Linked DNA regions of Drosophila melanogaster. The protein of the gene in region 4 purifies or fractionates together with the protein of the main gene of each other region. This does not show direct contact. Each region holds a gene or a part of one and is shown on either strand. Other genes may lie near its edges. The genes, in order: cmet, tacc, dgt3 and dgt6.

The links.
Region 1: the proteins of dgt6 (region 4) and cmet purify together in Drosophila melanogaster (affinity purification with western blotting; one study listed by BioGRID). This does not show direct contact.
Region 2: the proteins of dgt6 (region 4) and tacc purify together in Drosophila melanogaster (affinity purification with western blotting, with the first as the bait; one study listed by BioGRID). This does not show direct contact.
Region 3: the proteins of dgt6 (region 4) and dgt3 purify together in Drosophila melanogaster (affinity purification with western blotting; 2 studies listed by BioGRID, with this or other methods). This does not show direct contact.

The regions. Positions count from the first base shown.
Region 1 is NT_033779.5:11,264,003-11,272,088, forward strand, and holds the start of cmet (CENP-meta), read right to left. Parts: upstream 5,001-8,086; 5' UTR 4,845-5,000; coding exon 4,706-4,844; intron 4,631-4,705; coding exon 4,508-4,630; intron 4,451-4,507; coding exon 4,104-4,450; intron 4,051-4,103; coding exon 3,149-4,050; intron 3,045-3,148; coding exon 2,880-3,044; intron 2,556-2,879; coding exon 1-2,555. Other genes in the region: cana (CENP-ana), read left to right, coding at 5,902-6,040, 6,116-6,238, 6,296-6,642, 6,696-7,531.
Region 2 is NT_033777.3:4,742,488-4,750,398, forward strand, and holds the start of tacc (transforming acidic coiled-coil protein), read right to left. Parts: upstream 3,928-7,911; 5' UTR 3,688-3,927; coding exon 3,310-3,687; intron 2,179-3,309; coding exon 1,977-2,178; intron 1,696-1,976; coding exon 1-1,695.
Region 3 is NT_033778.4:20,989,054-20,996,480, reverse strand, and holds dgt3 (dim gamma-tubulin 3), read left to right. Parts: upstream 1-2,099; 5' UTR 2,100-2,157; coding exon 2,158-2,175; intron 2,176-2,226; coding exon 2,227-2,555; intron 2,556-2,617; coding exon 2,618-2,980; intron 2,981-3,041; coding exon 3,042-3,707; intron 3,708-3,766; coding exon 3,767-3,944; intron 3,945-4,008; coding exon 4,009-4,152; 3' UTR 4,153-4,205; downstream 4,206-7,427. Other genes in the region: Prosalpha3 (proteasome alpha3 subunit), read right to left, coding at 450-1,035, 1,173-1,378, 1,488-1,490; CG3216 (uncharacterized protein), read left to right, coding at 5,310-5,607, 5,660-5,771, 5,837-6,002, 6,281-6,358, 6,459-6,735, 6,792-7,347, 7,410-7,427. UniProt on the Drosophila melanogaster protein: As part of the augmin complex, plays a role in centrosome-independent generation of spindle microtubules. The complex is required for mitotic spindle assembly through its involvement in localizing gamma-tubulin to spindle microtubules.
Region 4 is NT_033777.3:29,124,995-29,132,601, forward strand, and holds dgt6 (dim gamma-tubulin 6), read right to left. Parts: upstream 5,979-7,607; 5' UTR 5,898-5,978; coding exon 5,036-5,897; intron 4,970-5,035; coding exon 4,535-4,969; intron 4,474-4,534; coding exon 3,953-4,473; intron 3,887-3,952; coding exon 3,740-3,886; 3' UTR 3,590-3,739; downstream 1-3,589. Other genes in the region: Ctl2 (choline transporter-like 2), read left to right, coding at 420-743, 813-2,879; Vha100-1 (vacuolar H[+] ATPase 100kD subunit 1), read left to right, coding at 6,715-6,831, 7,132-7,308, 7,382-7,510.

The DNA.
Region 1 (8,086 bases), on a different chromosome or scaffold from region 4:
CTTCTTTCGTTTGATTCAATTGCTCCATTAGGGTGGCTCTCACCTCGTTTATTTCCGCTCTAAAGGCATCTTCCATTTTTGATTGTTGGGTGCTAGCCTCAGCTAGCTTATTCTTAAGAGTTTCCCTGATAGTCTCCATTTCTGCCTGGTGCTGGACAATCAAATTGTTTCTTTCCTCCACAGCCTGAGAAATATTTTCTTTATGAGCAGATTTAAGCGCTTCCAACTCCGCCTGACAACGAACCGTAACGCTGGAGAGTGTCTCCTCTACCTGCAATAGCTTCTCCTTTAACTCGGCCACATTGCTCTCATAGCGATCCTTAGTCTCCTGCAATTCAGCGTAGAACTTGGCTTGGTTCTCTTTCTCATTCGTTTCAATTTGGAGCAGGAACTCCATTCGCAAAGCACTTATCTCATCATCTTTTATCCTTCGCACATCGTGTAGCTCATCTTTGGCTGCATTTAGCAATTGATTAAGTTTCTCGATCTGACTATCATATTGGGAGGAAAGTAGTATCTGATCCGGCTTTGCATCCGCAAGACTGAGAGATTCTGTCGCTTTATGATACTGTTCAACGAGCTGCGCGTTTTTCTTTTGAAGCTGATCGATAAGGCATAGGTCATCGGAGAGCTTCTGCGCCTGACGATCCAGTAGTTCTTGTTTTTGCTTAGTGTCCTCATCCAACTCGGCTAGCCTCACCTCCATCGATAAGCAGCGCTCACTCATTTCCTCAAAATCCGTCTGTAGTCTCGCTATGTTCCCGTCTTTCAACTGGATCTGCCTTAAATGGTTTTCAAGTTCTGCTTTTAGATCAGAAACTTGTGACTGCAATTCTGTTATGGATGTCTTTAGCGTGGCCACCTCCTGTTCTCGTCTACTGGGAGATGTAGGGCATCCTGGAAGGGTATCCTCGTCAGGTGGAACTCGGAGCAGACTCTCGCTCATCGAGCTCTCCCTTGTTACTCTATCCTGCAGCTCCTCGTATACCATTGTCATCTCCGCATTTTGTTTTTCCAGGGACTCGATCTGCCGCTGGTAGTCCTCAACCTTGTTAATTATAACGCTCTTTTCGAGGAGTGCCGACTCTAGGTTAGTCATCTGCTCTCGCATTTCATTGATGGTTGCCTCTGTTGCCTCCATAAGTGCACTCTTCTCTTCGATTTCCTGTTCCAGCTGCGAAATAATATCAAGCAATCGCTTCTCCTCTCCCATATCTACATGTTCCTGGCTAAGTCGCTTTATCTGAAATCTGTGTCGCTTGAGAAAGCCTTTGAGACAAATAGGTTCAGTTGCATCGGATTGACGATTGTCTTCCTCGATGTACTCAGCAGACTCAAGGCAAAGCTTAAGTCCTGGCTCGCTCTGATCCAGTTTCATTTGGTTGGCTCTAAAGAGGCGACTGATGCCGGAATGATGCTGCAGCTCTATCTGTTGGACGGACTCAGAAAGCTGAACAAACTGGTGTAGAAGGTTTATATCCTGCTTCTGTTCGTCAAAATCGGAGCTTATACCGGAACTCCTCATAGACTCCTCAACGTGACTCGTGGGTCGTTGCTTTATCTCCTCTCGCAGGGCATCGTTCTCCTGGACACTCTCCATCAGTTGATTGGAAAGGCAATCGTATTCCCGCTGCATCTCTTCAAAGTTCGTCTCCAGTTCTTTGATTTTCGCTGTAAGTTCGTGATTTTGTATTCGAAGCTTTTCCACAGTAGATTCAGAGTTTTGGACTTCCGTAAGCATGTTTTGGGCCTCCTCCAATCGTTCATTGAGGGATGCGATATCGGCTTGAAACTTCGTGTTGTCATTTTGAAGCCGTTGAAACTCAGCGCTGGAGGCACTTCTTGCCCTGCTTTCTAACTGCTCATACTCCTCCTGCAATTTCTGGTATTTCTCCTGCACGTGCTCGTGCTTTTCATGTAGGGTTGTGATGCCCGCTTGTTGAGCTTGCCACTGTTGGTCCAGAGCGTCGTACCTTTCCTGAAGTTGTCCAAAGGCATTCTGGGATGTGGATAGCTCTTTCGAAAGTCGCTCGCAATCAGTCGCCTTTTGGATAATCTCCGAGCTTGCCAGGTTAAAGGCAGATTCAACGCTCTCTAACTTGTCGCGAACAGAGACGATTTCCAACCGGAGCTGATCACACTCGCATGAATTTTTCTTGGACTCTAAATCTGCAATCAGCTTCTCCAGTTCCTCACACTTGTTGCATATACTGTCGCCGGCGATGTCTTCCTGCTCTGGGGCAATGGAAAGCATGTGGCCCTCCTTGCTGTTCCGTAAGACATCGCGGGTTAAATTGTCGAGGGACTTTTGAAGACTCTCTATAGTCGACTCCTTTTCTAAAAGGGCAGAGAGTAAGTCATCCACGCGAAGTTTCGATGATTTCTTGTGAGCCTCAAACTCAAACTCGAGGCCCACGGCCACCTGATTTTCCACTTCCATTATTCTCATAGTCTGCTTTAGAGTACTCAGTTTCTCTTCCAATTCGCTGATTTTTGAATTCGCAGCCTCATTATCCGCTCTTAGGCTGGTTACTTCCTTTTCCAGAGCATCATAACTATAAGAAGATACACAAGTAGTAAACTATTGTTAAACACTAAAACTATAATAAAATAAATCAAACAAACAGGTATTGTGGAGTGGTGTTCTATAAACAAAATTTACTGTTAAAAACTGAAACATATACTTAAGTGTTTTGTTTTTATAGAATGGAATAGAATATCGCTGCACTAGTTTTACAGATTTGTATGAATAGGTATGTTAGATTTTGGGTTGACTGCTTAAAGCACAAAAGTCGAGTTACGTTTACATCGTTTTTTACGATGCAGGCACTATGTTTTGGACGACAGATTCCTTGACAGAAAACACCTCATTAACTCACCGCTCCTTTTCGGCTAACGATTCTTGCTCTAAATTATCCCGCTGTGCTGTAACCTCGGCCAGCTTTTCTTTTAAACCCTGCACCTCTTCGCACTCCACCTCAAAATGCTTCTCTAAGCTGGTGAACATTTGCAGGTCCTGGATTTCCTTCTTGATTTTATCCGTTCTGTGCAGGCAAATAAGTGCAGGGATCGGGTCGGGGTATGTGGATGCGATTGTTATGTGATGAATGTTATGGAGGATGATCAAAAAGCTTGCAGAAGTACTTACGTTAAGGGACCCTTGGGAGTGAGGGGCAGGTCTGGCAGTTGCCTGATGGTCAACATGGGTTTGAGGACATCTGGGCGAGGGGAGCCAAAATCAATGCATTCTGCCGGGAGAAATTCCTCACTAATGGAGTTGCTCTCGGTACCGATATCCAGGGAACCCAAAATGTTTATGGTCTTTGGAATGTTGTCCCATCGTTTGCCTGCATTTGAAGTGTGAAAAAACACTGGTTTTGGAAGGTGTGAGACCTTTGGAAATTGGTCAATTCGATCTTCAGTTGTGCCGGTCTCTGCTAGCTCCAAATGCGATCCCGATGCAGTGGGACACCAAGTACGGCGACGCTTCTGCTGACCCTTGTCGCTCAGGGAGTGACCACAGATTATCTTGTGCATGTCGTGTTTTATTTGTCTCTCCAGATGCTCTACCTTTTGCTGGTTCTCGTTTTTGCGCTCTTCTTCGGCCAGCTTATCCTTAAGCACCTTTATTTCTCGCTCCAGCCGCTTCATCATTGTGGCGTCAGATACCATCTCGTTGACTTGGGGCTTAATGCGAATTTTCTTGGCTCGCGTGGCGAAACTAAGGGTAGACTGCGACTCTTCCATGATCGATGGTTTGATTGTGCAAATGATGGATGTGAATGCATTGCCGCCCAAAGAAGCCTGCAGAATGCGCGTCAGCTTGGAATCGCGGTAGTTGGTAAATCTATTGTCCGCGTTTTCCGACAGACTTTTGATAACGTTACTGAGAAAAAGTAAGCTCTTGTTTATATGACCGCCCTCTTTGAGGCGCGCTCCTCGAGCACCCGTTTGGTCCGCCCGCTCTGACCCAGCCAGATCCACCAGGTTCAACACGCTTTGAATCACTGCGTCGTCATCGCTGTGGTCCGACTTTCGGGACTCGATGATCTGTGGGATACATGTTGCAGATTATCGGAAAGAAAATAGCAGGCTGCACTTACTATCTTAAATATGGCATGCGAACGGCTGGACCGCTCGTTCATGTTCGTCTCGCCCACGGTGCGCTCCTTATTGCCCAAGCATAGCAGGCGCAGGAGGTCAACCTCGCTGGTTATGATGCACTCCTCGCAGTTCACATTCACAATCCCATTTCCGGACTCATGGATCTTGAGGTCCTGATTCTTCTTGTTCAGCAGATCGTAGATCTTCTCGTTGTAGATCTCGATGTAGCCCACGCGCAGCAGAAAGTCCCGCTCCGTCTCACTGGAGATCTGTTGAAAGATCTCCTTGGCGGCTAGCACCATGACGCCCGGATTCTGTTCGTCGCCCATCATGGTGTACGTCTTGCCTGAAATGCATGCCCGGTTTTAGGTATACCGCCGCGTATATATAGCACAGTACCCACCCGACGACGTCTGGCCGTAGGCAAAAATAGTTCCGTTGAAGCCCTGCATGCAGGCGTGCACTATGTGCTTGGCCATCCGGTCGAACACCTCCTGGTTGCTGGCGCCCTCGTCGAACACATAGTCTGCCAAACGGAATGGAATGTAAATGAGATAAAGGTCTTGTGGATCAGGATACGCTCAACGCTCTAACCACTCACCGAAGACATAGGGCTCCGCATGGCTGTCCGCCAAGTGGATGGAGCGGCGCTCCTTCACCTGCCAGAGTGAAGTGAGCCCGGGCTCGCAGGGACGCACCTTGATGCAGACCTGGATGGAGCTGGCGTTCTTCGCAGACATCTTGGCGCCTTCTTGGTCTCAATGCTTTATGATAAACAGAACGCAGTTCATAAACAAACATAAAATTCAATGTTTTACAGTAAACAAACATTGATCGACATCTTTGTTGCTCGTTAAATTCGAACAAATGCCGCTTTGCAAAATCAGGGATGTATATGCTTCGATATCTTCGAGTGGCGCTAACGACTCGATAGATAAATCGGTTCATCGATTGTTATCATAGTTCCAAATAGGGCTGCAAAAATAAAAACAGAAACACATTATGTTCTTATCCCACAGGGCTGCATTAACATTCCTGATCAAGGGTCGCTACGGCATATATATATTCTAAGACGTTGTGTTCTTATTGGTAGGGCATGCTAACTAACAAAGTTCTATGACTCAATACTTTAAGGTCAAACAGAAAATAGAACAAGCTCTTAAATACATGCGAAAACTACGGTTTAAATTTCATATAAGTTCGTATTTTTTCTACTAATTCATAACTTCTATTCATAGCACACATATAATGTGGAAAGTATTTGATTCCAAAACAAATATTTGAAATAAATTATAACTAAGCTCCCTAATATAACCACTATAATATTTTCCAAATTTTCAATTTTCCTATTTTTTTTAATAGTGAACAACTGGGATTATTATTCCAATGAAATCTCATGTTTATATCAGACAGTATTCTTCTGTATGCATTAAACAATCCCCTCAGCTTTTGTCTGTCTGTAAGTAAGCATTTAATTTAGCGGTCTTTACTATTTTGGAAATATAGATAATAATAATCTATATTATATATCACGAAAAAGCTCGGAAAAAGTTTTATGTTCGAAGCCTATTGGATTATATTTTCATATTCGCCGAAAGCTCCTCAAACTTTTAAATTGAACTGGCTCGCGCCTATTTACTGGTTCCGTATTTCGATCTGGTTCGCTTCCGAAGCGGTATTTGTTCGAATTTACAAAGAGAAACTAACATGTCGATCAAACTAGCTTTTATAAAACGTTAAAATCTGTTTGTGTCTGTTCATTGTGCATGTCAAACACGTTTCCCACAAGTCGCAAAGATGTCTACGAAGAACGCCAGCTCCATCCAGGTCTGCATCAAGGTGCGTCCCTGCGAGCCCGGGCTCACTTCACTCTGGCAGGTGAAGGAGGGCCGCTCCATCCAGTTGGCGGACAGCCATGCGGAGCCCTATGTCTTCGGTGAGTGGTTAGAGCGTTGAGCGTATCCTGATCTACAAGACCTTTATCTCATTTACATTCCATTCCGTTTGGCAGACTATGTGTTCGACGAGGGCGCCAGCAACCAGGAGGTGTTCGACCGGATGGCCAAGCACATAGTGCACGCCTGCATGCAGGGCTCCAACGGAACTATTTTTGCCTACGGCCAGACGTCGTCGGGTGGGTACTGTGCTATATATACGCGGCGGTATACCTAAAACCGGGCATGCATTTCAGGCAAGACGTACACCATGATGGGCGACGAACAGAATCCGGGCGTCATGGTGCTAGCCGCCAAGGAGATCTTTCAACAGATCTCCAGTGAGACGGAGCGGGACTTTCTGCTGCGCGTGGGCTACATCGAGATCTACAACGAGAAGATCTACGATCTGCTGAACAAGAAGAATCAGGACCTCAAGATCCATGAGTCCGGCAATGGGATTGTGAATGTGAACTGCAAGGAGTCCATCGTAACCAGCGAGGACGACCTCCTGCGCCAGCTCTACATGGGCAACAAGGAGCGCGTCGTGGGCGAGACCAACATGAACGAGCGGTCCAGTCGTTCGCACGCCATCTTCAGGATAGTGAGTGCTAGATTCTTGTATTAATCATATAATATGCAAGATTATTTCTACAGATCATTGAGTCCCGAAAGTCGGACCACAGTGATAACGACACCGTAAAGCAGAGCGTACTGAGCCTGGTGGATCTGGCTGGATCCGAACAGGTGGACCCCGCGGACCACGCATCCAGCCTTATGATTTTTCGCAACTTGGTTAAGAGCCTCTCCGAGAGTGTAGATAGCAAGCCGAATAGCTTTCGCGATTCGAAACTTCCGCGCATCATGCTGCCTTCGCTGGGTGGAAATGTTTTGACCTCTATCATCTGTACAATTACGCCATCGTTCGTGGAGGAGTCGTCATCCACTATAAGCTTCGGCACGTGTGCCAAAAAAATTCGTTGCAAGCCGCAGGTCTGCAAGATAGACTCTGAAACCACGATGATGAGGCAACTTGATCGCGGGATCAGTATGTTGAAGGATAAGCTTGCTAAGAAGAAGATCAAGAATGAGAGCCAGCTGGTATTGCAGGAATTGGAAGGTCGCATCAAGCGCGACATGTTGAAGATCGTTTCCAGCGCCTCGCTTGACGACTATCGCCTCCAGAAGCGTCGTCGTACTTGGACTTTAACCGCCTCAGGCTCAGAAGGCGACGCTCCTGTTCTCGCATTGCCTGAGCCAGAGGAGTCCCGTCTACCGCGTCCTTCGAAGCTGACTAACCTGCCGAAACCCTTGTTTCAGCGGCGGGGGATTGCTCCCAAAGCCAAAGGCATTTGTAAAACCCTAAAGGAGAAAAGGTTACAAACGGATAATATGGACACTATGCCTGGCCGGGCGAAACAGTTGGGAAGAGAGACAGCTAGCAGAATTCCTTCAGTAATGATGTCAAAAAAGTATCAGGAGTCGGTGCCGAAGTAAGTAAATTTATGAATTATTTATTTTACTTTTAGATCTAGAGTTATAAAAAGATTCAAATGAGTTAAACAAACGAAACTACATAGTATTCTACGCGACTATATCGTTTTGAAAAGTACTTTAAGTAAGCAATTTTGCGCATTTTGAACATACCAACTCACCTCTTGCGCGCACTCACCTGACACCTGAACTAAAAACGAGGTGGAGACGAGTGCGGCGTGCTCTTCTACTCGGCTGTCTTCTCGTGCGGTCTTCGCTCGCTCTTCTTGCTTTCTCGCAGCAGTCGCAGCGAAGAGGGCAAGCTGTCTCAACTGGGAGTCCGATCGCGAAGAAATCGAAAACAAAACAAACGCCAACGCAAATAGCCGTCGAGAAGGAAAGATTTCTGGGGGAGAATCCGGGAGCGGAAAGAGGCGAGGCGACGCCTGTTGTGAGCCAGTTTTGCGAATAGACTCGGCTGGATGCGATGTGACGCCCCAGCTACGATCGCTTTGTGGCCCTGGAAGCGCGATAAGGCAGTCAGCCGATCGACAAGGTAGTTAACTGGCCAACTT
Region 2 (7,911 bases), about 24 Mb from region 4:
CAACCGATCCCAGACTTACGGCAAGGGTGGAAGAAGGCTCAATATTCTCTGTACCCTTCTGTGATTTGTCCTCCGTAATGCTTCCGCTGTCAAAGGTCATATTTGACGAAGTGGGAGAAATCTCGCTCATTGGCAAGGTTTCGTTGAGGTGCTGCTTCTCAGGACTCGGTTGTGTTAACTCAAAGACTATTGGTGATTTCGCTATGACTCCGAAATCGCTTTGCTTGCGATGTGATGAACGTTCTACCACAGCCTCTTCCAAATAGGGCATGTCCTTTTGCTCGAGCTGAGCACGCGGTGAGCGTGGAAAGTGGGACTGTTTTTCAGCAGGTTCTTTGATGGGGAAACTGGGCGAAGTCGGTTCTGGAAGGCTTGCAGTGGTTGTATTCCCTTTCAGATCCAAGTAAAGTGGCGTTGGTAAGACTGCCACAATGGGTACCAGGCCGTGTGATAGCTGCTTACATTCCACCTTCCCCGCCGTCGAGACACCATCAGGCAAAGGCAGCTCCCTCAAAGCCAGGAACTCTAGTTCCTCCGCTGTTTTTGGGCGATGTGTAGGTATGGGCGGGGAAAGGGAAAGTTCGATAATTTTTGCTTGAAGTGCGGGTGTCGGCGGTGAGAGCGAAGCTGATGGGACAGATTCTACAGGCAGCTCTATTTCAGTCATCTTTAATGCACTTTCTTTTCCTGCAGTTTTTTGATCCATTTTATTATCTTGACAATCCGTATCATTTTGAACGCAGAGTTTTAAGAAAAATTTGCTTGAAACGGGAGAATGAGCATTAATTTGCTCCTGCCGACATGAGTTAAGCACTGTGGCATCATCCACTTTCATGGATTCATCCACATCCATTTGATCAAGCTCCTCCACAGTCCTGTCTTCAGTTGCCTCCATAGCTGGGGATGCATTTTGCTCAAGGCTGATGGCAGTGCATGGTCTCTCCATTGATTCTACTGCCACCGAAAATTGCTTCTCTTGATTAGGGTATTCTAGAGATTTTGCTGATTTTGTGGACAGTTCTGAAGAAGCCTCTTTGAGATTTAAGGCCTTTTCAGGCTCCTTAGGATTTTGTGCGTCCTTCACCTGAGCACTACTGACCGGGTGGTGCTTCTCTTTCTGAAATATATCTTTTGTATTTGTTTGCATTTCCTCTTGATGCTTAGCTAAGTCTTTCGTAGAGTCCAAGGCAGATAAGGTGAGCTTCGGCTCAAAGGATTGTGTACCAGACTCCTCAGACAGTACTGATTCTACCAATGATTCTGATTCCTTTGCATCACTATTGGGTTTAGAGTGTTTGGCTAACTGGTCTAGTTCAACCCTATTTTGCTCCTGATTTGGATGATAGTGCACAAAATTATTCTCTGGTTTTGACTGGGTTACGCTGAGAATATGCGTTTGCATAAGATGACGGTCTTCCGCATTCAAGACGTCCTTTAACATTTCCATGGTTTCGTTTAGGTCATCCACATCCATGGCTTCATAGCTGACGTTGTTGTGCTGGCTAACTGCCAAAGGATCGTTGAATTCAGCTCCCAGTGTAGAAACTGAGGTCATGGACAGCTGCTGCTCCAAAACATCATTAAGGGCACTTGAATATGCCTCTAACTCCGATCGATCTCCGGTGTAGCGCTCGCTATGAAGCGATAAACACTCGACAAAAACATCCGAATCCGAATGGTTGGATTTCAGTTGAGCTAAGGGAGGAATGAATGCGATATATTAATCAATTCGTTTTAATAATAATTAAATACATATAAGAAATTTATTTATATAATTAATACAACGAGAAATTTATACATAAACTTGGAAATGATTTATTTTCCCCAGCTGGCCCTTTCCTTTGTATAAATGACGGTATTGAAATAGAAGAAATTACTTCGCTCTTCTGGCGGATTTCGTATGGAATTCTTTTGTACATCAATATAATTTTTCTACCTTAAGAGATTTCTGGGTTACACAAACAAGATTTACTCACTATCCATATCGGTACTTAAAGGAGCTAGTTCCGGTATTTGCGTCTCATCGAACTCGGGAAGACCTCCAAACTTTGGAACGAGGTCGTCTTCTGGCTTAAGTCCACCGGGTACCGCCGTCTGATGCCCCAGAGCTGCCGCCATTGCCTTCTGTTGATCCATGCTCGTTGGCTTGGGACTGGGCTTCACCGCCAACGGACTCAGCTGCCAAACAAGAGATGCAAAATTTAAGAATATAGTTATCAAGATGTACATCGCGGTCATGATCCGAATAGTTTTAAACCGTGAACAACCGATGTTGGGAATGGGGTTTTAAAGATGATCACGAGTAGCAGCTGGTTGGTCATTTAATTAAGAATTTTTGACACACAAAAAGGCAAGAGCCCCACCACAGTTGGCATAAATAAATCGCATTTGGGATGACTTTTCCCGTATTTTCCCATTGCCAAGAAATTATACAAAGGCATAGGACCCCCATTTTTAGTTATTATCATATACAAAAGAATACATTATTATGAAATTATGATCTTCATTTGAAAAACTTCAATCTCATCTAATGTAGCCCATATGATACAGATGCCTTCAATTCACGCTTAAAAAAGACATACATTTCAAATGTTTGTCGCAGTCGGTCAGTCAACAAAAGCAAATGTCATTAATTAAAAAGCCAGCCAAGACGTAAAAATCGGGTATATGGCATATGTTTGGGAGGGTGGCAACGAAACGGATTGAGGAGCAAAAGGTGGGGAGATGGACGTGGAACTGGGTCGACGTCAGCTTTTGTGCAGTGCGAAATAAACATGCCGCGGATTCAATGCGGCCGGCCGCCATGTTTAATGTCTATTTAGGTTTGGGAGCATCGTTCTACACGCGGAATTTAATTAGAGCGCATTGCAGTATAATGGGTGCTGCAAGGTTAAAGTCAGAAGAATAAGGCGAGTGGTGACCGGCTTATGAGCGAGACACTAAAAATTAGGAAAATTCTGGCATTAGACCAATTTCTCCGTTTCGATTTTATTGATAAGTATTTTAATTTTAATTTTTTGACAATGGGCTCAAATTTGAGTGGTAATGGGAAGCAGATTCCTGCGGAATATTAGCCCAAGCTAATGGCTAGATACAACCCTATTTAAAATAATATTTTCTGCAACGCAATAAGGTGACAAAACCAAGTGGAACCGCATAAATACTATATATGCAATCGGCAAAACACATTGGGACATTACAAAAAAATTCCAATGTGTAGATTTATGCAGTTTGCCTAATACTAGAACACCCCCCCCCCCCCCCCCAGGGATGCACATAAAAAGATAGTCCTAATTCTTTCAGACATACCTCGCCACTCATGGCTTGCAAGTGCTCCATTTCGTTAGCACTCACTTGGTTCAGATTGAAGTTTATTTCGCTTAGAAATTTCTGTATTTCTTCTCTACTATCAGTGCTGTCCTCGGGGGCTGGGAGTGGGTTCGAGATGGATTCCATAAATAGTTCACAGTGCTTTCCCTCCAGTCGTTGCAGCTCCTCAGAGGCGGACTCTAGTAACGAGTCCAGGTGCGCGGATACAAGTGTAACTCCTCCCTTATCCCTTGGTGTAGAACATTCATCAGCGGGACTAGCAGCTTCTAGGGCTTCCATTGTCGTTGGCTGATTGGTGCTGATGCCAGTGGTGGCGATGCTTTTGGGTCTTTTGATGATATTCGCGAGGAAATCCATGCCGCTCTACGCACGATTAACTCCTGAGACGCGATACGGTTCACTTGGCTCCAAAAAATAATGGATCTATAGAGTTCCTTAGTTTGGTCTTTAGTGTTTTTTTTTTTTTTTTTTTTTTGTGGTTTTTGTTGTGACACAGATTTGGGCTCGCCTACTCGGTAAAATCTTTACTGTGATTTTCCGCTTCCATTATATTGGGTAATACCTCCGGGTTTCTCACGGCCCGTTGTCGCGTGCGGTTCTCACTGCCTCCCGATCATGTCTGCCTTTAAAATCAATTTAAAAATATTTTCGTTTTCAATTTGCTTTGCTCTGCTCAGCGTCACACATGCACAAATACTTAGAGCACGGCGAGAGTGCGGGGGATCGACAGACCGAGTGAGAGAACGAATAGTTTGAATGGCATCCACATAACGATCCGGATGTTTTCGTATGTCTTCATGTTTGGATCGTTTTAGCCCACATGGCGTTCTCCCCTTATCAGCACGGTCCTCTCTTCCATTTATAATACTGCCATATGTTTTCACATGTGAGACGGCGGCTAGAGACACCTTTGTATATTACACATTATGGATTTCATACCAACTTAAAACATTTATTTAGCACATCCTTAGTCTTGAAATAGTTCCGATAAGTTATACTCTGAACTTTTAAGCACAAATATTCCTAATGAAAATTAAATCAAAACAACAGAGAACTCAGTCGTTTTTCTCGACTACCCATTACTCAGCTTTTGGAGCTACGAGAAATATACCCTTCAAAGATTTTATTAGCATATAAATAATATAAGTCTTAGTGGCCAGATAGACTTGGCTGGTGATTCTGAAGATGAAATCTTATCCTTTCTATGGTTGGAATAGTTACCCTTTTCTATTTCGAGAAAATATATTGGGTTTTATGAAGCTAGAGGGCAACACACACTTGATCCATTTAAACACACTTCTCTTAGATATATGAAATACATTTTGGAAACGGTCGAGGTCGTGGGCAACATTTATAAAATAATAATGTCAAAAGAGCGGGCTCAAGTTGACAACCTTTTTGACTGAACTGCAGTGAAAAACTGAAAAACTATACAGGCCTCAGACGAAATTCAGACTGAAAGGCAGCAGTGAAAGTGCAAGACACCGCAAATAAGTCGAAACACTTAAAGAAGGGGATAAATAAATGGGATACGAGAATACGGCGACCGCCGACTGCTTATATTGTCTTCGCAAATCAACTGGAGGAACTTGGTGCAAATTCAACGCTTTGATGACAGAATTATTTTGCACATTTTCCATAGGATTTTTGGAGAACAGTCTTATTTGCAAAATGCTTTCTCTTAAAGATATACCAGTAGAGGCAAGTAGAGTGCTCTAAAATAATAAATATGTTGATTTGGCTCATCACATTGTTTCAAGTGTAGAGGCCTGGTGGGTCCCAGATGACATGCAATCCCACAGCCATTGTTGCGCATCATGGCGCACTATCTGCAAGCTCCACATTGCCCAACGGCTGACTTTGCATGTTTGGCGAGAAAATGTAAGCAATGAAACGGAATCCCACACGATGGGCCTTGACGAGGGGGGAATAGTTAGATGTTGGCTCTAGCGTTATCCAAGCAGCGCGCGACAGGTGACAAGATATCACACGGTTCCCGGCTCAGGGTGAATTTAAAACCAATGTAGTTTGTTGAAGCATATAAGCCTTGAGTGGAATCCAAATAGTGGCCACAAATGAGTATACTGATTTCAGAAAACACAATAAATACAATAGAATAGAATACAAGTGGAATTTGAACCTTAAGCTGCAATTCGAATATCCAATAGAACTCAGGAAAATAAAAGAAAACAAATATTGAGGAAGAGCCAACTATAAACTGATCTAAAAATAGGCAAATGTGGAAAGGGGTGGAAACCATCTGTAGATCCTTTATAATGAGCATTTTTGTTGGCAAAAGGGAAGATGGAGTTAAATGACATTTAGTCAAACTTAAATCCTCAGATGGGCGTTTTTTGGACTGTAAACCGCATTAGGCACTGACATTTTGCAGCCGTTAGCCGCCAACTGATTTATTGGCATAATAGCGATACACACTAGCATTTTTAAATGGAAAGTGCACCATCTGGAGAGTGGAAATTTCAAGAGACAAATATATAGAAGGAAGAATAAGTAACTTTTGATTTTCCCTTGGCATACCCGATTCCCTCGTCCGTCGTCCGCCTTTATGGTAATTTTCCCGGACAAGGCCCTCGGTTTCCGTGTCTTGCCCGGCTTATTGCCCATTCTCCTATGGCTATGGCAGATCGGGGAAACTGGTCACCTGGGATGGACAATGTCCGGCGGACACCGATCAACTAGAGAACTCTCGTTCGCGACAGCTGCCTCAGAGCTAATAGGAACAGCGAATAATGGAAATTTATATGTACATATGTATTTACGATGAACAATTGCGAATAAAGAAAATAGCAGAACAGCCTGCGACGCAGCATACCCACACATATGTACAAAGTACATAACCGAACACACACATATGTACCTGTAGACGTGTGAGTTGAATTATGCCTCTGCCGAAAGTGGCTGCATTGGTACATCGCGGACGGAGCACGCCTCCAAGTCCAGCTATTAACTTACCTTAATGCCGCCATCGTTTTTGTTGATCTCCCGCAGAACGCCGCGACCACCAAATCCCATTCCTAGGCCATTTTCTGCGTCGTCGAATTCCATGGCATATGTGTATCCCGGCAGGCAGCGCTCTTCTACAGGCCGATGACACAGTTAAGCTATACGTTTTCGGATAAAACTCTTATTTATCGCAATATGAAATTGGTGACGCGAATTTCCAACGTTGCTTTGGCGAAAATGCCGCTACAATTTGAAGAAGCATAAGTGACAGTGTGGCCAAATTGCCAGCAGGGAAAAAATACCAGAGGGCAAATGTTACCTAGCATGTTATTAATAACATTATTTAATTGCACTTACACAATATTTCGATCTATGAATGGTTAAATAAAATCCAAGTTTTTCTTTATTTTTTTTTTCAACGAATTTTCAAGTAAATGAAAGTCGGTCAAAATAAAGAATTGGAATTAAAAAGGGAACAGTAGCTTTGGTATTATTACCATAATCACTTTTGTCACCGAGAATATAATGTTTGCTACCTACTTATGTAGATATACACAGTATTATAATACTGCATTTTATATTTCTAGCACACGATACTTGAAGAGTACAAGTCAAAAGTTTAAAGTATAACACAGGTAGATCGCATATAAAAGTTTTCAAGTACATTATTGTGCCAAAAAAAATTTTACATTTGACACAGTTAATACGCTTTTTTAAACAAACATTTGACACGCTGCAGTAAAATATTGATATTGGATATGTTGTATTGAAGTAGTGACGACTGCTCAATTTTTTTATGTAGTGAAATGTAAAATCATCTTTTATCACAATAAAGTTAAGATGTGTTGTTGTTTGATATTATTTTTATAAAGAATAACTTATAGGAATATATTTCGGAAAGTGACCTTATATAACAACGATTTATATGCATCGTATTGTACATATTTTCGGAGTCTGCCGTATTATTAGCGCAGAAAGTCCAAATATTTAATATTAAAGTATAAAACTAGGCACTTCATTCTCTTAAATCCATAAACGAGAGCACTTCTACTCGACGATTATGTTTCTCTTTATTAGGGCTGGCAACACCGTCACCCTATTTTGTTGCCTTCTGAGAATTGTAATGCAACCGCGTAACTCAACGACTCAACCGTTCGGGATTCCGAAAAGTTATATATTTGGAAATTTAACTAATAGTGAACAAGTATTTATTTATTCTTAACCAGGATCGGTCCGTCCATGTCCGTATGAACTTCGAGATCTCAGGAACTATGTATGTACATTAGTACGCATGTATAAGAGCTAGAAAGTTGAGATTGGCCATGAAGGTTCCAAACTTCGGTCCTATCGATTTGCCAGAACACTTCTTGCCACGCCCACAAACTGCCAAAGATTGCTATGCCCACACTTTTAGGAAATGTTTTTGATTTTCTTATTGGTTTTGTAAATTTGTACCGATTTACCAACAAAAGCAACGCCCCTTCTGACGCCCACAAACCGCCCACACTTCTACAAATTTAAAACTTCTTTTTGTTTTAATATATATTTTTTTTCAATTTCTATCGATATAACAGATATCCCTCGTTAATTAAACAAAAAACAAACAACGATAAAAAA
Region 3 (7,427 bases), on a different chromosome or scaffold from region 4:
TAGCTCTAGGCTGCTTGCAACTTTCTGTGGCACACACACACACGCGCGCTCATTGCCTGTTTGCTGCGTATGAAAAATGGTTTTCCAATCCGTATTCACCACGCGTTTTGCGCGCACTCTCCAATTACGCATAAGCCCCTTTGCAGAAACCGATTAACCGTTAGTTTAGCAAGTATAATTGAATTTTTTATAACAGCAACAGCAAATAAAAAGCGACGGAATTTTTCTCAAAATGTTTTGTACGGTATTTTTTTAGTGACTGCCCGTCGCTGGCCATATTTAGCAGCTCTTCGCTGCGAATGGCAATGGCACTGTTATCGATTAATCGGCCATCCCTATTGGCACAATGATAGTGGGTTTTTGTTTTTTGAAATTTTATTTCACACACTCCGTACATCGGTTACAAAAATCAGGATAGACCCTTAATCAATAATAATGCATCCTTGGGATTACTTGGTCGGCTGCTTCGCTTGCTTCTCCTTCTTGGCAGCCTCGGCCTCCGCCTGTACCTTTGTGTACTTCTCGATCAGCTTCTCCACATCGGGTTTCTCCAGGACACTGTATACGGTCTTATTGTCCACACGCTGCAGCGTGGCCATCTCGACCTTCTCCGGGGTCAGCTTGGTGGTGTCCAGGGTCATGCTCAGTACCTTGATGGCCAAATCCTTGGCGTCCGCCAGCGTCAGCTTCACGTTCTCCTTATCGGCCAGCTCCTGCTTCAGCATGGAGATCGCGGCACCGAAGTTGTTGCCAATACAGGTGGCCTTCCATCCGCCGTAGTTGCCGCTGGGATCCGACTGGTACAGTTGGTAGCCGTACTTGTTGTCCCATCCCATGTAGAGCAGCGAGACGCCGAAGGGACGCTTTCCGCCGTACTGAGTGTACGCCTGTTTGATGTCGCAGAGGTGCGACACCAGCTGCTCGCAGGGAATCACCTCGCCGTAGCTGAACTGGTAACGCTGGGCAATCAGACGCAGTTCTGAGGTCAGCACATTGGCATCGGAGGTGATGCCAGCCACCGAGCAGACCATGTTGCTGAGGGAAAACAAAGAGGCTTGGATAGAGATAGATTCGTAGAGAATGTAGTGGGTAATTAAGATCATGGCCAGTTAAATATATGGCCTGTGACCCTTGAATTCATCGTAGGATATACTACTGAAATTTCAACTCACTCGTTCAGGCGATAGATCTTCTCCGAAGGAATGGCGCTGTCCAGCAATTTGTTTGTGCTGCGGCACTCGGCTGCCAACAGGATGCCGTCCTCGGCGAGGATTCCGAGGCAGGTTCCGGCGTGCGAGATGGCCTCCATGGCGTACTCCACCTGGTACAAACGGCCCTCCGGCGAGAAGATCGTGGTGCGGGAATCATAGCGGCGAGCCTGGGAAAATACACGCAAGTCAATTACTACCACGATTGCTAGCCTTCAATGGTCATCGGCCCAATGGTGGCTCTCAGACCAATACCGGTCTTCTGGGCGCGGTACTTACCATTGCTAAGGAATATACCAATTTACAAGTTTATTTTGCAAAACGAACAGAATTTACTTGTCATTCAGTGTAGGGTTGCCAGACTGCCACACGAAGTGCGTCCAAAGCGGTACCAGGGCTGCAAACTAGATGGCGTTAGGGTGTTTCTATTTACCAGGGGTGGTGTGCACGTTTATCCACATATCGATATAAGGTATTAAAATCATTTTAACAAAGATCAATTTATAAGCCCTTTAAGATTGAGGTGTACTAAAACATAATATTTACTTGAATTAAACTTAAGAACTTGTGTCAAATTTAGAAAAATTGTATCCTTACTTCATAGCAAAAATTTAAAATAATTCATATATAAAATATATATATATAATAAACAGAAATTTATTATATATATATATATATATATATATATATTATATATATTATATATATATATATATATATATATATATATTATATATATTATATATATATATATTTAACAGAAATAGATAAGAGTAAATATTTCATGAAATCGTTGATAGGAAATCAGGAATTTCTACGATTTTTATTAAGCTTAATTATTAAGCACTATTTCCTGTTAATTTTCAAAAGGTACCATCTCTAGTAACGTCTCTGAAACCTTTCGATATAACCGATAAGTAATCAGCTTGTGTTGTCATTTTTTTAAAAGATGGGCGATCTGCTGAGCGTATGTGTGATGATTTAATTAATGATCAGCTTATAATCGCCATGATTGCAGAACTCGGAATTCTTCAAGAAGCTGGGAGTGGACAGCTCGAACCAGTGGATTCTGTACGATGAGCAGATGGAGATGTTCTTCAAGTTCCTGTCCGGGAACATCACGGATGCAAATATCCTCACAGAGCGACAGGTTCTGGAGCGGGAGGAGATGCAGCGGCGGGGCGAGTGGCTAAGTGCTTCGGATCGCGAGCTCAAGCTCCTGCAAATCGAGGCCGAAAGTCCGGGGCTTCTCAACTACAAGCAGCAGGATGTCGACGCCTTGACCATGAGCATTGAGGCGATCGAAGATGCCTCAAGGGATTATGCTACGCTTCTGGAAGATATGATGTAAGGGAAAAACTGTAACCTTCCTCATATATGTTCGATCGATGGTCAATCCACTTTTGCAGGACCACAAAGCACTCGATAACTAAGCACCTAGGCGAGGTGGAGTGCGTCACCGCCGAGTTGCAACTGAGGGAGAAGGATCTGATAGCCGAGTGCCAGTCCAAAGCCAAGCAACTGGAGGAACTGCAGCAGGAGAACTGCCGGCTAAGCGCCGAAGCCAAAAAGGCATTCACCGCCCCACAGTTGCCGCCTCTATTCATGCATCAACTGCCATTGGAGCAGTATTTCCACAAATGCGATTCATTTATGCAATACTTTACTCTGTATGTGAAGGAGAATTTTAAGATCCAGGACTATGATGAGTTCCAGAGCGCGGAGGAAGATCTTGGGCGCGAAAAGGCCAAGCTGGAGGACTTGGAACGTGGGTAAGCACAAAGGTTCTGTGCTAAAAACAATGCACATTAATTGATATGACCGTTTTTACAGCATCCAGTTTTATGCACTATCCTACATAAGAACAAAGGCCAAGGTGAAGGCCACGCAGTGTCTTATTGACCAGTTGGATCTTGGCAAGATTCACTGCCTCAGTTTAACGGACATGGCGCGTGAAATGCACGATCTGCAGCTGCTCAACGACTATCAACTGAGCAATACACACGATACGCTTTTAAACGATCTAACCATTCACATTCAGCAGCACACCCAGCGACGTATTGAGCTGGTTCTCTACGAGAACACTAAACTGAAGTTGGAAAGAGCTGTTCGACGTCATGAAAGCGACAAGAAGCTCACTAAAATCATCTCAGATGCTCTGTCCAATGCGGAATTGCTGTGGATTGCGATCCAACTGGACTGCGACAAGAAGCGCAACTGCCTGGACACTTCGGAGGAGTTGCGCGACCAAGCGCAGGCCACTTGGCAAAGAATCCAGACCATGCGCTCCATTAACGCCAGTTATCAGGGCATTTGTGCCCAGTTTGTGCAGGAGATTGCCAATTTGTTGTCAGCCCACTTGGGACAGAACATAAAGGCAACTGAGGCCAAGGCTTGTCTCTTCGAATACGAAAAGTTCGGTCGCCTGCTGTCTTACTCCTTTCAGAGCATGCTGAACCGAAAGTCGTGTGCTGCTGTTCAGGATCAACTGGCAGAACTGTAAGTTGCAATACTTAACTTTGATACAGATCGTTTAAGCTATTAATATTTTTTTTTAGCAAGCGCTTGGAGCAGACTTTGCGGCCGTTTGTCTATGATTCCCCATTGGAGCAGCCCATGTTTGAGAACGTTCGCTACTTGAGCGCCATATACAATGTCACCCAGCAGCAAACTCGCCTGGATGAGTCAGGGCGTTCCTTGCGAAAAGATTTCCTGGAAAATGTCGTGGGGCGCATTGTAAGTATACTAATTAACTATAAAATCATGGAATATAACATTTTAATGTTGTTTATCCTTTTAGGAGCGGGATAAACTGTATCGCTATAGCGTAGTCCTGTGGATTTGGTTTCTCACTGAGCCGCAGCGCATGATGCATGCAATTGATGAGGTCAAAAAGGCAGCCGCTGCAGTAATTCGTCCAGGTGGTGGTCTGCACCGCAAGTGAACTTAGTTGATTTAGAATCTGGTCAGTAAATAAATGTTAAATTATTCAAAAATAAACATTACGGCGTTGCTAGTCTAATAATAAGTCAATACACTAAATTTAGGGATGCTGTATAATGTGTGTATGTAAAGATTCTTAGGCAGCAACATGATTTACTTTTGCTTACGACTTTGGTAATTGTTTTCCCCCCTTTGAAATGCCTTTTCCCTGGGCTATCAGATTTGGGTTCACTAAACACCGGGCGTATTAAGGCAGCATCGTCTTAAAGCAGTCTACACGAGTGCCACCAAAGAGACGCATTAATTGCTGGCGGCACGCGACGGCGTTTCCAAGCGATTACCATTCAGATTTGGCCAAGGAGCAACAAGTGAGGCCATAAAACCTTGTTCGCCTAACCTAGAGATTCACTTTCCGTGCAGACGAAGTCATTTGCCCGCCGATTTGCAGGACTCTCATTGGCTGCCGGCATTCGGGCTGCAGGACGAGTTTTGCCGAGCAGAGGTCCTTGCGGATATAAAAGGACCAACAGTTGTGGCCACTGGTTCACTCGATTATCGTGCTTCGGGCCATCTTTCCCCTCGTGACTTCCGGTAATACAATTGGATAAAGTGAAGTGTTTGTGCAAAGTGTGTTTTTTTAGTCAAATAAACCTTAAAAAGTGCTTCTACAAAACATTAAATATTTGGACTGCTTTAAGGACTTTAAATTTAAAGGAGTACAGCAAAGAAGTGGAACATTTTAAAGCTTTAAATGGATAATTACTCGCAACTCATTACCCCTTAGTGCTATTTGAATTAATTTCAAATTTATATGTGACCCTTAAAACTCAAGTGCTGCTCGGCGAATTTGAAGATCTGGACAGATTTTTGGGTTCAAAAGGATATTAAGTCAGTGAATGGGATTTAATATTCATACTGCATGGGCTATAAGAGAATTAATGTCGCAATTCTGTTTTAAATTTAGTAATTTAAAAAGTTAAGGTGTTGAATGTGTAATGTAATTTTAAGGAGCAAATGCAATATTTTGCTAATAATTACCTAATTTAGACAAATTCTTCAAAAGAACAAATATTTGTTCTTGTATCTAGTTACAGCTAAGTTAGCCACTTAGGTCCAGACTTATTGGATATTTTGTGTTTAATAGTTAGACTCCACGAAATGCATCTGCTTGGGATCAGCATCCACTTCTTCTTCCTGATGTACGTCAACTGCTTTAGTGCCCATCCGAATCCCAGGCGCAATGATATAACCTGGGATGATCTGAACAAGGATATTAGTTTGGACTCCACTACTTCCTTGGCGGGGCTCAATGCCAGTGATGCGGGCCTAGAGCAAAGAATGTACGAGAGGAGCAGGGAATCCAAGTCTACGCAGCTTTCTAGATACACTGAGGTGGGCGAAATGGGCTCCACAATGCGTGTCTATAACGTTGGCGTTCTGATGGCTTCTCATTTGGGTGAGTGCTCTGATAGTTGGCTTCAGATTTAATGGCTCATCAATTGGACTAGATTCTCCATTCGATCTGGAGCGTTGTGGACCGGCCGTTGACTTGGCCTTGGATGAGATTAACAAGGTTTTCCTGAAGCCTCACAACATAACACTACTGAAAAAGAAGGGAAGGTTGGTACATCTAATTCTGTGAGTTCTACTCGTACCACCACCTATCAAGTTCTTATTTATGTTAGCTATCCATCCTGTTCGGGTGCTCGGGCTCCTGGACTGGCTGCGGACATGTACTTCCAGGACGACGTAATCGCGTTTATTGGACCAGCCTGCGCCTTTGCCCTTGAGCCGGTGGCACGTTTGGCCGCCTATTGGAACAAGCCCATCATCACCGGCATGGGAGATCAGGTGAGAGCAGCGGATTCAGGGCCAGAATATCCAAGTCGCGTGTCAGGACACGCAGCACGCCGCTTTTAATAATGTGGCCTCCAGCCTGAGCTTCAGACTAATCCACATACCCTTGTGCCACATCCAGAAGTAATCACATTTAGCCAGCTTAATTGTGCTGGTCGTACTCTTGACATTGGCAATTAAATGCCTTTTGGCCCGCTCTTTAATTTGCATTTAAGTTTGCCCGTATTATTGACAAATGGCAATCTCCCCCTATTTCGCCCACCTGCTGCTAGCCGCCTTCCTCGGAAGGTGAGCTGACGGTCACTTCCGGAATCCTGGGAAGGATACACAAGTGGAAGAATGAGAATACGGTAAGTTTTGCGCGGGGAAGTTCATGGATTGTAGTTTAAATTAAATAACATTTAATCTCTGGCCTGGTTTTCCGGTTTGTTCGGCTGCTGCTCCTTGCAGGGCATGTTCAAGGACAAGTCCAAGTACCCGACGCTCACCCGGATGTCCTACTGCCAGTGCCGCCTCATCCTGGTCTTTGCCAGCGTCATTCGGCAGTTCAACTGGAATCACGTTGCCCTGCTGGTGGACAGATCGGAGCTCTTCTCGTGGACGGTGGGCAAGAATCTGGAGTACGGTCTGCGGCAGGAGGGACTCTTGAGCTTCGTCAAGGAGCTCAACGGCAACGAGGAGGAGGTGTACGAAAACTATCTAAAGGACGCCAGCATGTATGCCAGAGGTAAGATTAGGTAGATTATACGATTATATACGCAGGTTTTAAACTTTCCTCGTCAGTGGTCATCCTGTCGGTTCGCGGCGTTCTTGTGCGAAAATTCATGTTGGCAGCCCACAGCCTGGGCATGACCAATGGCGAGTGGGTGTTCCTGGACGTGGAAATCTTTCAGAGCGAATACTGGGGCGACAAGGGTTGGGAGATGAAGGATGAGCACGATGCCAAGGCGCGGAAGGCATACGAAGCCCTCCTGAGAGTCAGTCTCCTGCAGCCGACAAGTCCCAAGTTCCAGGACTTTGCCGACAATGTGAGGGAGAATGCGCTCTACGATTACAACTACACGTTTGGCGAGGGCGAGGAGGTGAACTTCTTTATTGGAGCCTTCTACGATGGCGTCTACCTGCTGGGAATGGCCTTGAACGAGACCCTCACCGAGGGTGGTGACATCCGGGATGGGGTCAACATCACCAGGCGGATGTGGAATCGCACCTTCGAAGGTATCACGGGGCACGTGCGCATCGACGACAACGGTGACCGGGATGCTGATTACTCCATTCTCGATCTGGATCCCATCAATGGAAAGTTCTCCGTTGTGGCCCATTATTCCGGTGTTCACAAGTAAGAGTATCTCAGCGAAGTTTCAAGGAAAGGTAGCATAATTATTTTACTATTTTCTGCAGAGTATATTCGGCTGTTCA
Region 4 (7,607 bases):
TTGTTACAGAGCTAGGTTCATTGATCATTAAAAGGTTAAACAGTCTTATTCATAAACATAGGAAGAAATATTATTTAATTGTGGTTCAATCCAAAAGGGATCGTTGGCCGCCTGTCGTTGATATAATCAAACCGCACTTTGTCGCCGACAATTTCATTTACTCATCGTACTTTCCCCAACCAAACTAACAAATAAACTAGAACAAAAAGAGCCGCTGGTGGTTGGCTTCACCGCCAACACGACCACCCACTACAGATTCGGTTTTCCATTTTTAAAACAATGACGCATGCACGGAAATAAATTACATGATATACGCCTGACAATCTCATTACCTAGAGACGACGACCCATCGATAGTGGCTCTATGTATATACATACATAAAACACTCGGTTCTTCTTGGACTCTTTCAGTAGAGAGCGATGACGGAAAGCGTGGAGCTGATGAACAAGTACGGCGAGCCACTGCGCTACGACCGGAACTTCACGGGACCGAGGCAGAGGGATCGCAGCTGCACGGATGTGCCCTGCCTGCTGTTATTCGTCCTCTTCCTGGGCGGATGGGCCTTCATAGCCCAATACGCCATCAGGAACGGCGATCTCAACAAACTGCTGGTGCCCACGGACTCCTTTAACCGAAAGTGTGGCATGGACTCCGGAGTGCTGAACAAGAAAAACCTATTCTTTTTCGACTTGAATCAGTGCATCGATCCACTTGTACCCATCACTGGATGTGACACTCCACAGGTGAGATACCATTAACATCAAATTTGCAAGGAGTTGATCTTACTTTTAATGAAATACGTATTTCAACAGGTTTGTGTGGAGACTTGTCCCCGAGAGACGTTCGTCTGGGACACTATGAAGGACAAACAAAGTTTTGCGGAGCTGCATAGTCGCCTCATCTGCTTGTCGGAGGAGCACAAGGCGCAGATTCGCACCAAATCGGACATTCAGGATGCCATTAACCAGAACCAGTGCGCACGCTGGTACATCAAGAGTGCTCCATTCCTCAAACGATGCCTCTTCGAGTTCTCGCAGGGCGTGTGTGATTATATTCCCTCGTTTCTGCTAAATGGGGGAAGGTCGAGGCGGGAGCTGCATATGTTGCCCGGAAACGCCACCACAGAAGTTCAAATGCAGGCCGATGTCATGTACCAGAAAATGACGGATGCCCAGGCTCTCGTTGTTCCACAGGCGAATGGCAAACAGACTCCAGTGGACGAGGAACCGATCATCCAGTGCAAGCGCAGACTCAACGAGGCTGTCATCAAGGAGAAGATGATGCAGACCGATACGAGGCTGGCCAAGCTCGTTGGTAACATGGTGGCCCACTTCTACAATGGCACAAACGACGCCCAGCTTTTGGGAGAAAAGATTGTCGAGGATCTTGTCAACTCCTGGTCGATCGTTTTGGTGGCTTGCTTCTGCACCCTGGTAGCCTCACTGATCTACATCGCTCTAATGCGCTGGCTCTCGGCTCCGATTCTCTGGTTCTCCATCTTCGGCGTGCTTATCGGCTTGCTGGTGGGTATTTACTTCTCCGTAAAGCAGTACATCCACTGGGAGAATACGCCTACGGTTCCCGTACACGGCTTGAATCTACACTCCACGGTCAAGAATGTCCTGCAAAACCAGAACACCTGGCTCTACCTGTCCATCTTCGTAGGCGTGTGCTTCGTGGTTATCCTGTTGCTGGTAATTGTGCTAAGAAAGCGCATCCGGATAGCGATCGCCCTAACCAAGGAGGGCAGCAAGGCGGTGAGCAGCGTGATCAGCACCGTGTTCTTTCCCATCTTCTCCTGGATACTCTTCATTGCCGCCATAGCGTTTGCCATTGGCGTGGGCCTGTATCTGGGCTCAATTGGCGATCCTTCGTTTAGAATGGTGCGACAGCTGACGAAAAGTGGCGAAGTGACCACCGAGGACTGCGTCTGCGAAGGTCCAGCCATCAACTACACAGTGGGCGGATCCTGCAAGCCAGAAGTGTTCCAGCAATATTGTAGCGTTCGGCTGACCTCATTTTTCCAGAACCGAAACCCTTGCTTGAACACCACCTGCAGCTTTGACTCGATTAACAATCCAATCGAGATTAAGTGGGCCATCTTCTACAACGTCTTTGGCTTCCTCTGGCTGAGCTTCTTCATCTCCGCCTTCAGCTACATGGTGCTGGCCTCGACCTTCGCCCGATGGTACTGGACCTTCAAAAAGAGGGATGTGCCCTACTTCACCCTTACAAGGGCATTCTTTCAAACTGCTGTCTACCATCTGGGCACCGTGGCCTTTGGTTCGCTCATCCTGGCCATCGTCCGGCTGATCCGTCTGGTGCTGGAGTACATCCACGAGAAGCTGAAGAAGTACGACAATGCGGTGACACGAGCCATCCTCTGCTGCATGCGCTGCTTCTTCTGGTTGCTGGAGACCTTCCTGAAGTTCCTCAATCGGAATGCCTACATCATGTGCGCCATTCATGGCAAGAACTTCTGCTCCAGTGCCGCGGACTCGTTTAATCTGATTATGAGGAACTTCCTGCGTGTGGTGACGCTGGATCAGGTCACGGACTTTTTGTTCTTTTTGTCGAAACTGCTGCTAACCGCAGGGGCGGGGGCGTCCACCTACTACTTCCTGGACAATAATCCGAGCATTATTCGGCTAAATTACATAGCAGTGCCCACCACGGTGGTGGTAATTGCCGCCTTTCTCATAACGAGCGTGTTTTTCGGTGTGTACTCGACGGCAGTGGACACACTGTTTCTGTGCTTCCTGGAGGACTGCGAGCGCAACGACGGCTCACCGGAGAAGCCGTTCTTCATGTCCAAGCAGCTAATGAAGATTCTTGGCAAGAAGAACAATCTGCCGCCGCGTCAGCGCCGCGGAAAGTAGGAGACAGCAGTGCAAATTATAACTTTATTGAAGTAAAACATATATATATATATTTATTATAGCCCAAAACGAAACGATCGGGGTTGTGAGCGATTGCTCAACCGGCTGCAATTGGGTTTGCATTAAATGCACGCTCCTTTGCCAATACTCTTAATCTTTAATCTAGTGTATATAATACGCCAGTATCCGTATCCATATGTAAAGTTTTTTGTGCGGCTAGACATGTGATAGGCGCGGACCATAAAGACCAAAAGTAATACCATACAATAACATGTATACAGAGACACAAAAGTACATATCTCACATTCATGAAGTTTAAGTTAACGATAATTATTATAATTTTCGAATTTAATAAAAATGAATTCATTGAAGACACACTTTTCAGTTTTGTTCTTATTTTATTTCTCCATCATTATATTCACTCATTTTTTTTTATTTTTATACAATTTGTTTCATACTTTTGCCGTTCATTCATCTAGAACGCTCAACCCACTCATTTCAGAAAGTCTGATTTTGCAAGGATGTAACAGATCGCTGAAGCCGCAATGAAGAACAATAGCTATAAGATATGACTTTTAAAAGTATATATATAATAAACCTTAATACTGCCTCAAAGGTTGTTTATTTCAATAATAATCTTAAGTCCTGAAACTCGAATTTCGAAAAGCCTGGTATACTTATAGATGTATTTAAAAGAAGAAAATTGCTTTCAAGCTGAAAGATTTTAGTTTTAATTTCATATGGGTAATATTAAAAACTAAAGTAAAAAGTATATTTCGTTTAAAAACCTCATAACCAATTAGAAAAAGAATACAAAATCTATTACCTAAACAATATTGGCCATTCGCGATTCCCGTGGACTAAAAGATAATATCCTTGAGCACGCTATCGCTGATGTTCTGCAGGTCATCCTCACCACCAATCTGATCAAAATCGAATTTATGCGAGACATTGAATGCATTCTTATCGTTTTCAATGTTGAAATCGGGATCAAGCTGCAGTGAGTCCTGTAAAAAAAAGGAACTTGAGATTCGTATATTTCGTAGGCACGTATTATTGTTGATCCCACTTACATTGATTGTTCTGTCGTTGAGCTGAAGACGTGGCGCGACATCTTGCTGGTGGCTCTCGGTATGTGGAACCAGTGCATCTAGGCGTCCAGATGGCGAGGTGCTAAGATTAAGCACATTCCGTGATACCTCCAGGACCTTTATAACCGCAGCGCTCTTGGCGATCAGTGAAGTGTTGTTTTCCGAAGTGCGCGGAATGCGCTCAATTCGGGTGCACTCGCTACCACTCAAGGGTGTAAAGGGATCGCTGGGATCCGTTGGTGAGGTCTGAGGTGAGATCACTGCTGCTCCTGGCACCGGCGCCTCATCGAAACCGAATGACGCTTGCATTTGCTTCCACTTGCTGCCCAGGGAGGAGAGATTCGCCTGCGGAGCTGCCTTGACCTTGGAGGTGTTTTTGTGAATGGTGCGCAGCATTTGCATGGGATCGTTGATCTTGGATCGGTTTAAAGTGCCATTAAGGTCAATGCCGGTCGATTGATCAAGGGCTTTCAGCTTGCGTGCTGATCGAGGCGGCGCAGGTGCTGAAAAGGAAAACTCATAAGGATGAGGGTCACTAAGCGAACGGTTTAGTTCACTCCTTACCGAGTAAGCTGTTGCTTAAGGCATCAAACTGTTTGCCATTGAAGTCATCTTGCAGTGCAAGACGCACTGGGGCATTGCGACCGCCACCGCCGCCCATGTCGATTCTGATGGGAGGCGTGGAAACAAATTTGGAGCTGATAACCGATTCGAAGCGAGGCGTGGCCGGCTGAAGCGTCTGTACCCTGGCGGAGCCACTTGCATTGGCACTTCCCTTGTCCTTTTTGGACGGTTCGTTTAGTTTCTTGAGTAAATTGTTCAATTGGACTTCGGACTGTGAAAGTTCCACTCGAAGAGCCTGCAAATCGGTGGTGACAAACGCATTCGATTCGTTGTAGTGGTCATTAGCATCCAGTTGCTCGGCAATTGTGCCGCTGATCCGATTAAAGCCGTTTAAGAGCGCATCCATTTTTGATGCGCCCAAAGGATCGTAGAAATCTGCGAAGGAATTGAAAAACCATTTAAATTTAAAGACCTGCAAGGATGCAACCAAAGATGTCTCACCTCCTTCTGTGACTGCATCACAGTCGAACAGCACTCGCATGCCCCGAAGTGCCTTCTCCACCGCCTCCTTGCTCTGGTTGTTCTCGGCTTGCTTCACCTGGAAAAGATCGATGGCCTCCTTGAGACCGCACAGAGATGCCTCCAGGTCGAATTTCCTTTCGGTGGGTTGGGTAATGACCCGCTCCACGCCGAGTGCAGCGGTGGCCTCGAACTCATCCAGAAAGCCATCGTCCGCCAGTTGCTCCTCGGGCACTCCCATGTCTGCAGACAGATCGGCCATCAGGCGTCTGATCTTCTGGGTCTTGTCCCGCAACAGGGCCGTATTCTCCTCCAGATTGACCACATACGAAGAAGCGTACTCCTTCATCACGGCATTTTGGCGGGCCATGACCTTGGCGCTCACGTTTGGTGTTCCCGCCTCTAAGCCAAGTGACTTCTCGCGCTGCTTGATGAGCTCCTGGATCACGAAGCCCACGAACTCGAGCAGGAAGTTGATGAACCTCATGCCTCCGGGCATCACCACCAGATACGACTTGATGTTGGCCCAATGCAGCTGGTGCTTCTCGTTCAGATGCTTCAGATACTCCACCGTGCTGGAGCGAAAGTTCGCCTCCGACTTCTTGTCGGTGATGGGCCAGAAGAAGCGGCGTTTGAACTCCGCGGGATCCAGCAGACGGAAGAGGTAGTGCATCACATGCACGAAGGCCACCTGGTTGGGCTTGAGGAACATGTCCCAGGCAATCAGCTTACGCAGCTCGTCCGGCAGGGGGTGCACCAGGGCCAGTCCCTGCAGCTTCCTGTGGAGCTTCTCGCTCTGCTCCTTCTCTTCGGCCTTCCACGGTGCAATTATGGTCCGATCCATATTTTAGCACAGAAATTAAGTAAAATATGGCGGTTTAGTTTGAAGTTCTTTGTTTTTGTTGCTGCCCAGTGTTACCAAGTGGTTGAATTCAACTGAATGAAGACGTTCCCACTGCCTGTTTATATTGACGAAAAATGTTATATAAAAGGGATAAATCTATTTATTTTCCCTAGGAATAGTAACTGCGAATAGCATTTGTGTTTTTTAAATGTTTTTTATAATATTTCCCAGATATTTGTTTTTAAGTACAAATTTATTTCCCTAGTTACTCGATTGGTATAAATCCAATGACCTGCCACGGTCACACTAGATTCATAGTTCGGAAATTTGTCGGTTGCTGGAGTTTGTGGACGAATTTATATTTAATTTTTAAGCACTTGGTAATTAACTAATCGACGTTCATTTCGAAGTGACCCCCTGACAAACTAAATAGTTTTCGGATAAAGCTCGAGCCCAGTCACTGGCTGACCCCCAACGAGCCGAAAACCTTGGCATCCGGGTCCAACGTAGCACTTTCTTTTTGTCCGCGGCGGAGAAAAATCAATATACGCATGGGGTATAGAAATCGAATCTCGGCGCATATATAGTATAGATTACAGACAAATAATCTGGGGGACAAGCGAACGTCCGCCCACCGAAACGATAACCAAATCAGCATGAAAATATGTATGCGACACGGCCGCAAAACTTAGGAAGAAACCCAGTTTGGCCATGAATCATGCAATTGAATGGGCCCATTGTGTACTATATATGTACATATGCATTCTGATTTAGTGTCTGTTCTCCATTCGCAGATATCGGGAATCCGGCTGCCACAATGGGTTCCCTATTCCGCAGCGAGGAAATGGCGCTGTGCCAGCTGTTCCTGCAGAGCGAGGCGGCCTACGCCTGCGTCTCCGAGTTGGGAGAACTGGGATTGGTCCAGTTCCGAGATGTGAGTAGGATGGGTTACATAAAGCTGCGGTCGAGGCAGCCGCACTGACTAACCATAAACCACAATCATACCCCTTACCTCATTAGCGAATTCGGTATTCCATGAAACGTCCCCTTTAACGCGAATGCAAAGTAAATGCAAAGCTGGTGACACCAGCTACTAAGTGTATAGTATAACTACGTGTGTTACCTCATTTAAATAAAATTGAAAAATATAGTGGCATAAGTGCTATATCTTGATCGCACAAATGAAGTATCTTTGAGATCCCCCAATAACAAACCAATCTTTTGAAATCCGCAGCTCAATCCCGATGTCAACGCTTTCCAGAGGAAGTTCGTCAACGAGGTGCGCCGCTGCGATGAGATGGAGCGCAAGCTGCGTTACCTGGAGAAGGAGATCAAGAAGGACGGCATCCCCATGTTGGACACCGGGGAGAGTCCCGAGGCCCCGCAGCCCCGCGAGATGATCGACCTGGAGGTATACGCCGCCATACTCCCTGTTTTCTGCTAAACACTGTTGAACTTATATGGCTTTCTTGTCTGCTGCTCAGGCCACCTTTGAGAAGCTGGAGAACGAGCTGAGGGAGGTGAATCAGAACGCCGAGGCCCTGAAGCGCAACTTTCTGGAGCTGACCGAGCTGAAGCATATTTTGCGCAAAACCCAAGTGTTCTTCGATGAGGTAAGCTGCGGCATGAGTAACTCCATATGGGTATCAGCTAACAAACTGCGATCGGTTACCGATTTACCATTAACAAATGCCGGCCATTGAAGCGGCC